Linked DNA regions of Macaca fascicularis. The protein of the gene in region 3 purifies or fractionates together with the protein of the main gene of each other region. This does not show direct contact. Links are inferred from orthologs where the notes say so. Each region holds a gene or a part of one and is shown on either strand. Other genes may lie near its edges.

Region 1 (4,116 bases), on a different chromosome or scaffold from region 3:
GCCGCCGGGGTGTGGGTCCGTGCGCGCGCGTGCCCGGGCCGTGACAGCCACTGATGTGCTGGACTGCCAGGGTAGAGGTGAAGAGGGAGGGGGAGGAGATGGGGACTCCTCCGCCCCTGGCCGCCCACTCGCGGGTTTGAATGAAGCGCGAGGGGGAGGGGCGGCAGCGGGAGGGCGTTTTTGTCCGATGGCCCCTCCCCCTCCATGCACTGGGGAATTCCCCCCATCTGGAGACTTTCGCTCGCTCTCTCCGGGCACCGCCTGCGACGTCGGCTCCAGGGGAGACTGGGAAGAGGCGCCCCTCACCCGAGTGGCTGGAGCTCCTCCTATCCAGCCTGACCCCCGATGGAGCACCCTTTAATCTAAAATAATCCTGGCCCGAGACTGCAACGCGGCCTATTATCCTGGTATAAAAGCGTGGATTGGGATGCGTGGAAGTGTGAGGCCAGGGCCCTGCATGCTTAGAGTAATGGAGTCCTTAGAGCCCCGGCGGAGGAAGGGTACCCCCAGACAAACGGGGAGGGACTATGCGTGACCCCAGACTGTGACGAAAAGGAAAGCCCCCTTCCACCCCTCCAAGATTCCCCCACCAAGCGCGGGACCAGGAATACGCGCCGTAGGCTAGACTCTAGCGACACCCAGCGGTCACGCGGGGTGGGGCGCCGAGACCCGTTATGGGGGGTCCGGGTGATTCCAAAGTGTGTGTGTGTGTGTGTGTGTGTGTATGTGCGCGCGCGCGAGTCCTTGCTGCTAATGGCCGGAGCTGGAGGACGAGGAGAAGGCTCCCAAGGCAGAGCCACAATCTCCCCTCTATGTTTAACCCCTCAAGGGGAGGGCCATACCACCCTCTATTTAGACACCCCCAGGGCAGGTCCAGTCCTCCTCGGGCTGAGAAAGTCCCAGGAGTCGTCAGGCGCCCCTCTCCAGAGCAGGCTTAGGTCCCCGTTTACGAAGGGCAGGGGGAGGGCCTTCCCGCCGTGTCCGTACCCCTTGCAGACGTCACTGCGGCGTAGCTGAGGGGACAGTCCTCTTAGTCTCATCAACCGTCCTCTCCCTGCCACCCCAAACGCCCACCGTGGAGAGGCGGGAGATGAGGGGGGCTAGGAGTTGAAGTGCCCACTCGTATGCCCCCAGGAGACCTAGCGGAGCCCCTGCGCCCGATAAGGTGGAGTCTCTGCGGGAACTTCAGGGGACTGGAACGCTTGCGCAAGGCCCTTTAAGGCAGAATGGGTAGCCAGTGCCGCTGCCGCGGTTACTAGGGATGTGACGTCAGGCATGGGCGGGGTTTCCCCCGCACTCGGGCGGAAGCGGAAGGGGCGGGGCTCCGCGCACCAAGTCTCCAGCGCCGCCGCCGTCGCCGCCAACCGAGCCGTAGCGGGCTGGGCCGCCAAGGCAAGATGGTGGACTACAGCGTGTGGGACCACATTGAGGTGTCTGATGATGAAGACGAGACGCACCCCAACATCGACACGGCCAGCCTCTTCCGCTGGCGGCATCAGGTAAGGCGCGCGCGCCCATCCCTTTCCCCACTCCCGGACCCCGCTCCAGAGTTGTGGTCCCCGATACTGCCCAGGGACCCCACTGTTCACACCTAGGATTCTCACCCCCTCAGTCTGGACTTTCAGGAGCCTCGATTCAACTCCAGGACCCCAGTACCACTGGTACCCTGAGTCCCTGCTCGGGATCTCCCCCCAACCCCCTGCTCCGATTTTTGCGTGGGATTCCCTATTCACCCCCTAGAACTTCTTCAGTCTGGACTGCCTTAGACGAGTCTCCCTAATTCTGTTCGGAGTTAACATTTACACCCAGAACTCTGCCTCAAAGTTTGGTCCCCAAATTCTTCTAGATGATCCCTCATCCTATTCGGGTATCCACTCCCTATCTGGGATCTCACGTCGCCCTCCCCCACCTCCGTAGTCTGGACCCCCAATACTTTGGTCTGTCCTGGGATCTACTTTCCGGGATCTTGATCCGGGGTTCCCATTCAGATCCGGAGTCGCCACTCCTTTTCTAAACGGTACAAGGAACTCTGTGCTACTCTGATATTCCTGTCCCTGCCCACACCCGGGACCCCCTTCCTAGAGTGTAGAGCCGTCCCCCTTCAGGATCCTTAGTCTCACCGAGGACTTCGGTTGTGGAACCTGGTTCCCCTCTGGATCTAACTACCAGCTCCACCCCGACAGAGCCTCACATTCCAGCCTCTCCTTTGGCCTCGGGTAGACCCATTTCCCATTAGACCAGGAAATCCTGCCCACGTGGCTTCCGGCCCAGCCAGAGCCCCTGCCCCTACTTGGTATTGCAGACCCTGTCACCACCCACCTCCCAGACTGGCTTCCTGTATGAGCCTTGGCCAGCATTGGAAACTCCCCTAACTCAAGCCCAGGACCCCAAACCCACCCCACCTTGTGTCCCCAACCTGATCGCTACTCTGTGACCCAAATTGTCCCTGCTCTTTTCCAGGGACTCCTGGTCTGATTCTAAATTCACTACCCCTTCTTCTATCGGACCACAACAGAACCCCCAAATCCAGACCCCAGAATCCCAAGTCTGAGTGATCCATGTCCTACCACCCCCTCAGTGCTCACAAGCCAATGGGGTGACTAAGACTTAAAGGTTTAACCTCCTGCTACCCCAAATCACATATCAGTGTCTGTTGTACTCTTTTTTTTTTGAGATGGAGTTTCCTTGTCGCCCAGGCTGGAGTTCAGTGGCACAATCTTGGCTCACTGCAACCTCTGCTTCCCGGGTTCAAGCAATTCTCCTGCCTCAGCCTCCTGAATAGCTAGGATTACAGGCATGCGGCACCACGCCTGGCTAGTTTTGTATCTTTAGTAGAGACGGGGTTTCTCCATGTTGGTCAGGCTGGTCTCGAACTCCTGACCTCAGGCGATCCACCCACCTCGGCCTCCCAGAGTGCTGGGATTACAGGCGTGAGCCACTGCACCCAGCCATGTTGTACTCTTAAACTAAGGGCATATACCTTTCAGAACCTTCTAGTGAGGATCTCTTACCCCACCCTCTCATAGGACAACTCCCCATCATTTATCCAAGAAACAACTAGAAGTTCCCTTCCCCATCATTTTGGAATACTCCAGAATACGGCATTAGTCTCTTTATCTAGCTCCCAGTCCCACCTCCAGACCTCTTCCTTAAATCCTGAGTCTCCTGGGTAGTGTACCTGCCAAGCGAGCCACTGGAGTGTGGGAAGAAAGTTCTAGCGCTTCTATTTCTTGCCGTGTGTAACATTTTATTATGAAATATTTAAGACTTCCACAAAGCTCCAAAGACTATTCTTGGGAAGACCTATTTCTGTCACATAAAGAGGTTAATCTTTACTACTGTGGAGAATGGTTTGGTCCTGCCGAGTGGGAGGGCCCCCCTCCTGCAGCGTAGCGTACCTGCCACACCCTCCTCCCTCTGGCACGGAGCTTTTCCTGTCCTACCGCTGAGAACCCGGTGGTTGTAGTGGCACGTAAGGGAGGCAGGGGGCTTCAGCGTCTCCAGCACAGGTTCAAGGACAGGCAAGCTTGCGTTCCAATCCTAGTCCTGCCTCTTGCTGCTTCTTTCTTTCTTTGATGTGGCAAGACTCAGGCCTCCCTGATCCCGTATGAAACCTGGGATACTATGACCCCACCTCCCTGAGACTTTTGTAAGAATAAATTAAGATTGGGCAGGAAAACTTGGGGCAGGTTTGGAAGGAAGCATTGTGGAGGGGAAGGAGAGATCGCTGTGGTTCTGAGCACAGGCCTGACTAGGTTCAAATCTCAGCTCTGTCTGTGTCACTCACATGCTGCGTGAGTGCCAGGGAATTGTTTGATTGCTCTGTGCCTGAGCACCTGAGAATCTGAATGATGTCCACCCCATAGGGTTGTTGTAAGGGTTACCTTATTCGTTTAATATTTGTAATCCTTTTGGGGCAGTAGCTATTACCGTCATCATCATTTAAATAATTTTTGTGAATGGTTAAAAAAAAATTCCACAGCCACATGTGGGGACACATGCCTATAGTCCTAGCTACTCAGGAGGCTGAGGCAGAAGGATCATTTGAGCCCAGAAGTTCAAGTCCAGCCTGAGCAACATAGCAAGACCTTGTCTGTCTTTCTTTTTTCTTTTTTT
Region 2 (3,979 bases), on a different chromosome or scaffold from region 3:
ATGAGCCCACTTTTTCTGGACATAGTCACTTCCCTTTCAAGTTCAAGATGGCCAGAGAGTAAGACAAATCTTTTTGGAATAGTTGCAACTTTACCCCCTTCAATAGTAATCCCCAACAAAGGCCAAACCACTCCTTTCCTCTCTACGAAGAGTGTCAAAAAAATAAACACACCAAATATAGAAACCACAGCACTTACATCAGAAGCATTAGAGATCAACTCCCGAAGGAAAATCTCCTTGTTGGAATAGAAGGTATTGATGATGAGAGACATGAGTTGGGCAATTTCTGCCTGAAAGGCAAAAGTCTCCACCTCCTCCTCTCCATGGTGCACTTCCTCAGGCATCTAAAATAAAAATGATCATTAATTACAAAACATGAAGGCCTCACATTTTAAAATCCTAAAGGTCATCTCATTTGTTAGGACCTTAAGAGTTGAGACTGGTTTGACCTGAGTACTAGCCCTTCCGAAAAGACCGAAAAAGCATTCTCTTAAAAGATCTCAGGCTACACACTAAGTGGGAAGCCTGAAAATTCAGAAGGAAAAAGAAAATAAGCTGAATGTTCTTCAACCAAATGTCACAGAACCCAGCTACTTAGAGTGGTGACCAGCAGTCTCAACGTCATCCGGTAGTATGGCAGAAACTCATAATGCTGGTCCAACCCAGGTATCCAGAGATCCCAGATAATCCTTACACAAATTTAAATGTGAAAATCGCTACCTACAGTTCTTCATTTGGAGATCAAAGTAACTAGTTTGGCACTAACTTTAAACTGCTCCCCCTGAGATGTCTTCCTAAGACCAGCCCAAGGGCGGGACACTCCTACCCTACACTGCAGGGAGGAATAACCTGGGATCCAGAGGATACCCGCCCGAGGGGCAATTAAATCCGGACAAAGAATCGATAAGCCAAAAGCTCCACTACGACCCCTTCACAGGACAAAATTACAGAACAGGCCCAAACCCAACACAAGGAAGATGGTGGCCGTAACCACCAGGCCGACACTCGTCACTGCCGGACATGCGTCGGCAGGGACCACGCGAGGAGGGGGCGCCGCCGTGCACCCTCCTTCGCCCCAGCATCCGGGCACTGGGGCGGGGCGCCAGAATCCAGAAGCTTCCAGAACAATCTCAGCTCTAGAGGACGGGCGGAGGAGGGAGCCCATGAATCTTCCAGAACCTGCCCCCCTCCCCAACCCTCCTCCACCGGGACTGCAAGAAAGATCTGGAAGGAGGGAGTATGGGGTGCTGGAGACCGAAAGCGCTCCTCCCACACCATGAACCCTCACAGAAACAAAGCACCCAAGGCGGCTTTAACAACGCGTCCGATAAGAGAGGTGGCAAAGCCAATCCCACAGGGCCGTGCTGAGTCACCCGAGCAGGCACCCCCGCCATCCTGCGGTCCCCCTCCGACGCCCTATAGCCGCGTCCGGAAGTGGAGGAGCAAAAATGGCAGCGTCCCGGGCCGCGCGGCCACCACGTGCAGCTGCCCGCCGCGCACTGCCCCAGCCCCACAGCCCACCTCGCTACGGCTAGGAGGAGCCAAGAGAAAGCCCCACCGCCCAAGCACACTAGAGAAAACCGAGGAAAACTCAAGAGCCCTCACCTACCACTACCCTCACCCTATAAAAATCCAGGGCGTTATCCACAAGCCACCCCGGTATCTAGGCTCCCTAAAGGACAGAAAAAAACAAGAGCAACACGAAAGAGCACTAAAGAAGCCTAACGAAGAATTCAGCCTTACCTTGAAAAGAAAAGGCTTACACGTATTAGAGAAGAACGTGGGCTTGCTTTCTGATGACTACCAGGCACAAAACGCTGCGCCGGAGTGACTAGAGAGAGCTACTGCGTGCCCCAAGTCTCCCTATATAAGGCGAAGCACAGAACAGCCGCCCTCCCGTGGATCCCTCCGCCTTAAAGGAGCATGCTTGTCAAGTCCGCACCTGCCGCCACCAGCCCACCTTGACGTCATGGTCCGAAAAAAGGAGGGGGCGGGGAAGAACCCAAGCAACGGATCCACCCACACGTTTGCTTGTGATCACAGCCCCATATCTTCATGTCTAGGACCTGACCCCATCAAGAGCTGGGATAAGGAGTGCTCATTTGGCATATACGGTGTCTCTACGGGCGAGGAATCCATTGACCTCCCTAAAAACCTGTGAGGCAGGAGTCCCCACACCCAAGGACAGAGCCCGGGGGAAACACCTAAAAAGAGCCGAGGCAGCTAACCACTCCGACCGCTGCTCCCATACCCAATCTTCTTCCTAGCATATGCCCTACACATTTCGCATCCCGACACAGGGACTGGCATTCGGGACCCGACCTTGGGTAGCACCAGATCCTGACTCTCCCAGGAGCAGAGGAAGGGCGGAGGGTTCGCAGTGTGGGGTATCTCAGCGTGGGGGGAGGGCGCCGGCCGGGGCCGGCGGGACTCTTTGCCGGCATGCGGCGGAAGGCGCGGCGGCGCTGCGGCTTTCCAGCAGTTTCCAGGCCTGTCTCGGCGGTCCCGCCCCCGCCCGCCCCCTCCCCGCGGGGCTCCGCCTCTCCGGCTGCGGCCAGAGCAGGGTTTTTGCAGCGACCCCACCCGGGGACCGGCTCTGACCTGTCGGAGACGACGCGAGTACTAGCCCAATCCTCAGGGATGGGATGGAGCGTTGGGGAGGGATCGGCTGACCCCTCCTTCCCCGCGTCAATCACACAACACCCAAGCACCTGGGGCGACTCTGCGGGCGTACCGTTTTGCACTCTGAGACTGGAGTCGCTACGGGAGGGACCCCCTCCAGCCCCTGCGGCCGCCACGTACACGGAGCACGGGGACATGCGCCCTCCCTACGCAGGCACGTCAAGCCCTTTCTCAAGCTGGTTCGCTTTTTTTCTCCCACTTCCCTCCTGCAGCTATTTGGACGTGGGAAGGAGGGAGTCTCTAGGAGCCACTGCAGGGCAACAGGAGCTCTTGGAGGCCGCGTGAAGACGCCGGCCAGAGAGCGGCTGGCCAAGTTGTTCCCCTTCAGCCTTGGCACCAGAACCCCTAGGCCATACTCCTGGTCAGTGAACTGCGGCCGCCGTCTCTGGCCTGTCTCCGCCCTTTTGCCTGCCCTCCAGTCGGCAAGCTGTCCTTGCCTTTCCAAGGCGTCATCCGAAAGCCTGCTGGACCCACAGCCCCTCCAGGAGAGAATAGCCGCTCCCTGCTCTGTGCCCTGTAGATGTCCATCTAGTCCCCTTCCTGGCCCACCCCTAGGATGCTTGGGAAGAGTTTCCCCACAGCCACCCACGTCGTCCTCCCTCACCAGCCCTGTTACCCAGTCTACATTCGTTAACAAGCTTTGTTCATGTGTTGAATACCAAAGAAAAAGGACGTCCCTTGCTTTCCTCTTCCTTGTCCCTGTCAACTTCTCCATGCCTGCCATCATCATCCCGATTTTATATCCTTTCTCCCTTTCATTATGGTCTGCAAAAAGCGTATGGCTGGGAGAAGTCTATAAGAAGGGGCATTGGGTGCTCTATTCCTGACCAAAACCGCAAACCAGAGGGAGCGTGATCCCTTAACATACCCTCTCCTTCTAAGCAGAGGGACCTACGTCATTAAAAATCTGCTCCCCAGTTCACAGAGAGCATTCACAAACTCTCACTGTCCTGTGAGCGGATGAAAGCCAGTGTGTACATTATATCAACAGGGAAGTGGCTTTAGTGACTCCCAGGGTCCCTCTACTCAGAGCCCTTGCTACGCTGGCTCCCTTTCTGCTCCAGAAATGGAGCAGGGATGTGATCTCACCCCTAGGACCCAAATCCAAAGCAGGAATCACTCCTGTGGATGGGCTTACCCTGAGCTGGATCCTTTCAGTGTCAAGACTCAGCTGCTTCCTGAAGACTTTCTAAATGGGAAAATCTCAAATCTTACACCAGCATAGAAATTCCACTTTCTCTGCTGGGCGCAGTGGCTCATACCTGTAATCCCAACACTTTGGGAGGCTGAGGTGGGT
Region 3 (3,984 bases):
AGAAGGGGCAAATATGCTCCTCTGCTATCCCCTTTCTCAGAATTGCAGAAAAGTCTCACAGTTAGATAGCTTTATTTTTTTTTTTTTGAGATGAAGTTTCGCATTTGCTGCCCGGGCTGGAGTGCAATGGCGCGATCTCGGCTCACTGCAACCTCCGCTTCCCCGGGTTCAAGCCATTCTCCTGCTTCAGCCTCCCGAGCAGCTGAGATTACAGGCATGAGCCACCGCATAGATAGCATTTTTAAAGCACACAAAACAATAATATGTGCTGTTTATGCATACACTTATACACAATCCATTTTTAAAGGCACAGCCTGGAAGGACTGTAATCACGACAGCGGTTGCCCCCTGGGGAGGGATAGAAACAGGACTGAGAGTGACACAAGGTGGGGAGACTTCAAATTTTTCTGTTACTTTTAGTAAATTAATTTTTTAAAATCTGAAGCAAACACAACAAAATGCTATCATCTGTTAATTCTGGATGGTGGATTCTTGGGATATTTAATATATTATTCTCTTCACTTTTCTGTATTTCTTTTTTTTTTTTTTTGAGACGGAGTCTCGCTCTGTCGCCCAGGCTGGAGTGCAGTGGCGCGATCTCGGCTCACTGCAAGCTCTGCCTCCCAGGTTCACGCCATTCTCCTGCCTCAGCCTCCCGAGTAGCTGGGACTACAGGCGCCCGCCACCGCGCCCGGCTAATTTTTTGTATTTTTAGTAGAGACGGGGTTTCACCCTGGTCTCGATCTCCTGACCTTGTGATCCGCCCACCTCGGCCTCCCAAAGTGCTGGGATTACAGGCGTGAGCCACCGTGCCCGGCCCACTTTTCTGTATTTCAACCTGTCACCCCCTCCCCTAAAAAAAAAGGACCATAAAGAAAAAACCATGGGATAAGGCAACTGATATGTATTGAGGCCTTTTTCTGTGCCAGGCATAGGCTACCCCAGTGGTTTTCAAAGTGCCATCCTTGGATCAGCAGCAGCAGCATCACCAGGGATGGAAGTTCTTAGTGTCCTGCACAGAGTTACTGAATCAGAAACTCTAGGATTCGGCCCAGCAATCTGTGTTTTCACAAGCAGTCCAGGTGATGCTGATGTAGGCTGAAGTCTGAGAACGCGGGGCCATGTGTCTAGCTAGGGCAATGTTAAGATACATTAAGCCTGTGTACTGTCAGACAGTACTCTCAGAGCTTTCCTTCACTACCTTGCCTGCCTGCCTGCCTTCCTTCCTTCCTTCCTTCCTTCCTTCCTTCCTTCCTTCCTTCCTTCCTTCCTTTCTTTCTTTCTTTCTTTCTTTCTTTCTTTCTTTCTTTCTTTCTTTCTTTCTTTCTTTCTTTCTTTCTTTCTTTCTCTTTCTTTCTTTCTTTCTCTCTCTCTCTCTCTCTCTCTCTCTTTCTTTTTTTCTTTTTCTTTTTTTGAGACAGAGTCTTTCTCTGTCGCCCAGGCTGGAGTGCAGCCGCGCGATCTCAGCTCACAGCAACCTCCACCTCCCAGGTTCAAGTGATTCTCGTGCCTCAGCCTCCAGAGTAGCTGGAATTACAGGCATGTGCCACCACGCCTGGCTAAGTTTTGTACTTTTAGTACAGACGAGGTTTCACCATGTTAGCCAGGCTGGTCTCAAACTCTTGACCTCAAGAGATCCACCTGCCTCAGCCTCCCAAAAAGCTGAGATTACAGGAGTGAGTCACCCTACCCGGCTCCTTCAGTATCCAATTAATCCTCTAAACAACCCTGTGAAGGAGGTACTATTACTCTCCCCATCCTACAGTTGTGAAAACAGAAGCAAAGAAGGGCCAAATCCTCTACCCCAGGCCCAACAGGCAGTTTGCCTCTAGAAGCCCCCTCCCCTACCCACTAGCCTAACTGTCTCTCACAGGCACCACCTCTCACATACTCCAATTTCCTGCATCCTTGCAAGAAAGACTTCATAGCTCCGGCTTACAGATGAGGAAACGAATCCTGAGAGGGAGAATTCGTCCAACAAGGAGGAAAGTGTCAGGGCATGGCAGTCTTGGGCCAGGAGGTTTAGGGGTTTGACCTAGACCTGCTGTGGGAGGAGGGGCAGAGAGCCGACCAGCTGCAGCCGGCCTGGGTGTGGCTCACACGTCAGGCCTCCGCCCAACTGCCCCCTTCCCCAAGCCGGCTGCCAACCCGGCGTGACCCGGCCCCCACCGGGAACCGTAAGGGCCTTCCCCCCCAGGCTCTGTGAAGCCCCATCCCTTCCTTCTTCTTTTTTTTTTTTTTTTTTAATTAAAAAAAATCCCCCCCACCCCGCCGCAGAAGGGGAACCTGGACAGCCCAGAGAAGTGGTGGATAAAGTCACTGCACGGGCCTCCCCTCCCCTCCCCCTGGCATCCAGCAGTCCGCAGCAGTGCCGCCCCTCTCCTGGGCACCCTCCCCTGGCTGTCGACCCCTCATCACAGGCTACCCGCGGCTCCCCCGACGTTCCCGTCTCTCCTCGCTGCCCTCAGCAGCACCCGTAACCAGCCCTCCCCACTCCCCTAGACTCCCTCCGCCGCCTGGGACCCCTCGCGGGCCGGATATTCCCGGTCCCCTGTGCGCGGCACTCACCTGGGCGCCCGCTCCTGGTCTCGCGGGCAGCCCGGATCCTCGCAGCTCGAGCGCCCCCCCAGCTCGGCAGCCCCCGAGGTTCCGGGGTGCCAGTGCTGGGAAACTGACTTTCTAGAACTAGAGGCGGGGGCAGCGCTCGCAGGGGCTTTGGTGCCGCGGGCGTGTCTCGCCCTGCACTGTCTGGGTCCCTTCCCACTCGCCTCTAAGCCTCCGACGTGCTCCCGGACTGGGACCAGGGACGCGGTGGTGCCCGCAGGCCATCTGGGCGCTTTAGCCGCGCCCTGAGCGATGCTAACTCCGCCCCAAGTGTCCTAACGCCGCCCCGAAGACTCAGAAGCCACCCCAGGTTCCTAACCTGCTCCCCAAGGGTCATAACCTCCGTCTCCTGCAAGCAGGATCCCAAACCCGCCACCAAGAGAAAAAACAAAAAAAATTAGCATCATCCATCGGAGGCTTCTAACACGTCCACCAAGGATGTTAACCTCCATTCCTTCCGCTCTACTCTCCCTAACACCTCCCCATCCCACCGCCCAGCGTCCTACCGCAGTCTCCGAAGGATCCCAAATGCCACCCCTGGGGATTCGAACCCTCCCGTCTAAGAACCCCAGCACCCGCTCCCATGCTCCCAAGATCCTAACTCCGCCCCGCCAAAGGATTTTTAAACTAAACTTGCCCCCAAAGATTCTAATCTGCCCAATGGAAAGATCCGAACTCTCACTTCAGTGGATTCTAACCCTGCCTTAAAGATTTAGAACACTAACCCCAGGGTTCCAATACCGCTCTTGATCCTGCGCGATCCCAACCTGCCGCCGCCTAAGAGTTTTAATCCCCAGGGGTCTATCCCGCCGGTCCAAAGACTCCAACCCTGCCCTTCAGAGATCCTAACCCCACCTATCAAAGGATTCCTGCTACAGTCTTCAAAGATTCCAACCCCACCCTGGAAAGGCCTTACCCTACCCCGGAAGCATCGTGATCCCTTTCCCCCACCACTCCGACCCCTCCCTTCTGGCCCGGCCCCCCCAGCGCCGCGGCCCGAGACTTCCAGGCCCGTCTGTGGTCAGCGGTTTCCCTTCCGCAGGCCTGCTCCATTCAGACGCCACGCAAAGTTCCTCTCTCGAAGGAACCACCGTGGCCATGCAAAGTTCCCTGACCAAAGGAACTACCCTGGCCATGCAAAGTTCCCCGCCCGAAGGAACCACCCTGGCTTCCGGGCAGCTCAGAGGACTCCCAGACTGGGGGAGGTGGTCTGGAGAGGTGAGGAGTCAGGCTGGAGGGTGACCCCCCCCCCCAGTGGATAGGATTGTGCCCAGCTCCAGGCAAGGGCAGAACACACCCTCTCCTGAAAACACAGGGGCTATCACCCTAAATTCTGTGTAACACACCTCCAAAATCTCCAAAATGTACAAGAATCATACT

The links. The genes of interacting proteins can lie anywhere in the genome.
Region 1: the proteins of HCK (region 3) and CDC37 purify together in Homo sapiens (affinity purification with mass spectrometry; 3 studies listed by BioGRID and IntAct, with this or other methods). This does not show direct contact. The link is inferred for Macaca fascicularis from reciprocal best matches to the Homo sapiens genes HCK and CDC37.
Region 2: the proteins of HCK (region 3) and HSP90AB1 purify together in Homo sapiens (affinity purification with mass spectrometry; 3 studies listed by BioGRID and IntAct, with this or other methods). This does not show direct contact. The link is inferred for Macaca fascicularis from reciprocal best matches to the Homo sapiens genes HCK and HSP90AB1.

The regions. Positions count from the first base shown.
Region 1 is NC_088393.1:10,965,628-10,969,743, reverse strand, and holds the start of CDC37 (hsp90 co-chaperone Cdc37), read left to right. Parts: upstream 1-1,312; 5' UTR 1,313-1,397; coding exon 1,398-1,499; intron 1,500-4,116. UniProt on the Homo sapiens protein: Co-chaperone that binds to numerous kinases and promotes their interaction with the Hsp90 complex, resulting in stabilization and promotion of their activity. Inhibits HSP90AA1 ATPase activity.
Region 2 is NC_088378.1:127,269,978-127,273,956, forward strand, and holds the start of HSP90AB1 (heat shock protein HSP 90-beta), read right to left. Parts: upstream 2,805-3,979; 5' UTR 2,602-2,804; intron 1,840-2,601; exon of another isoform or gene 1,744-1,839; intron 1,421-1,743; exon of another isoform or gene 850-1,420; intron 345-849; coding exon 198-344; intron 1-197. UniProt on the Homo sapiens protein: Molecular chaperone that promotes the maturation, structural maintenance and proper regulation of specific target proteins involved for instance in cell cycle control and signal transduction. Undergoes a functional cycle linked to its ATPase activity.
Region 3 is NC_088384.1:88,140,028-88,144,011, reverse strand, and holds the start of HCK (tyrosine-protein kinase HCK), read right to left. Parts: upstream 2,803-3,984; 5' UTR 2,569-2,802; intron 1-2,568. UniProt on the Homo sapiens protein: Non-receptor tyrosine-protein kinase found in hematopoietic cells that transmits signals from cell surface receptors and plays an important role in the regulation of innate immune responses, including neutrophil, monocyte, macrophage and mast cell functions, phagocytosis, cell survival and proliferation, cell adhesion and migration.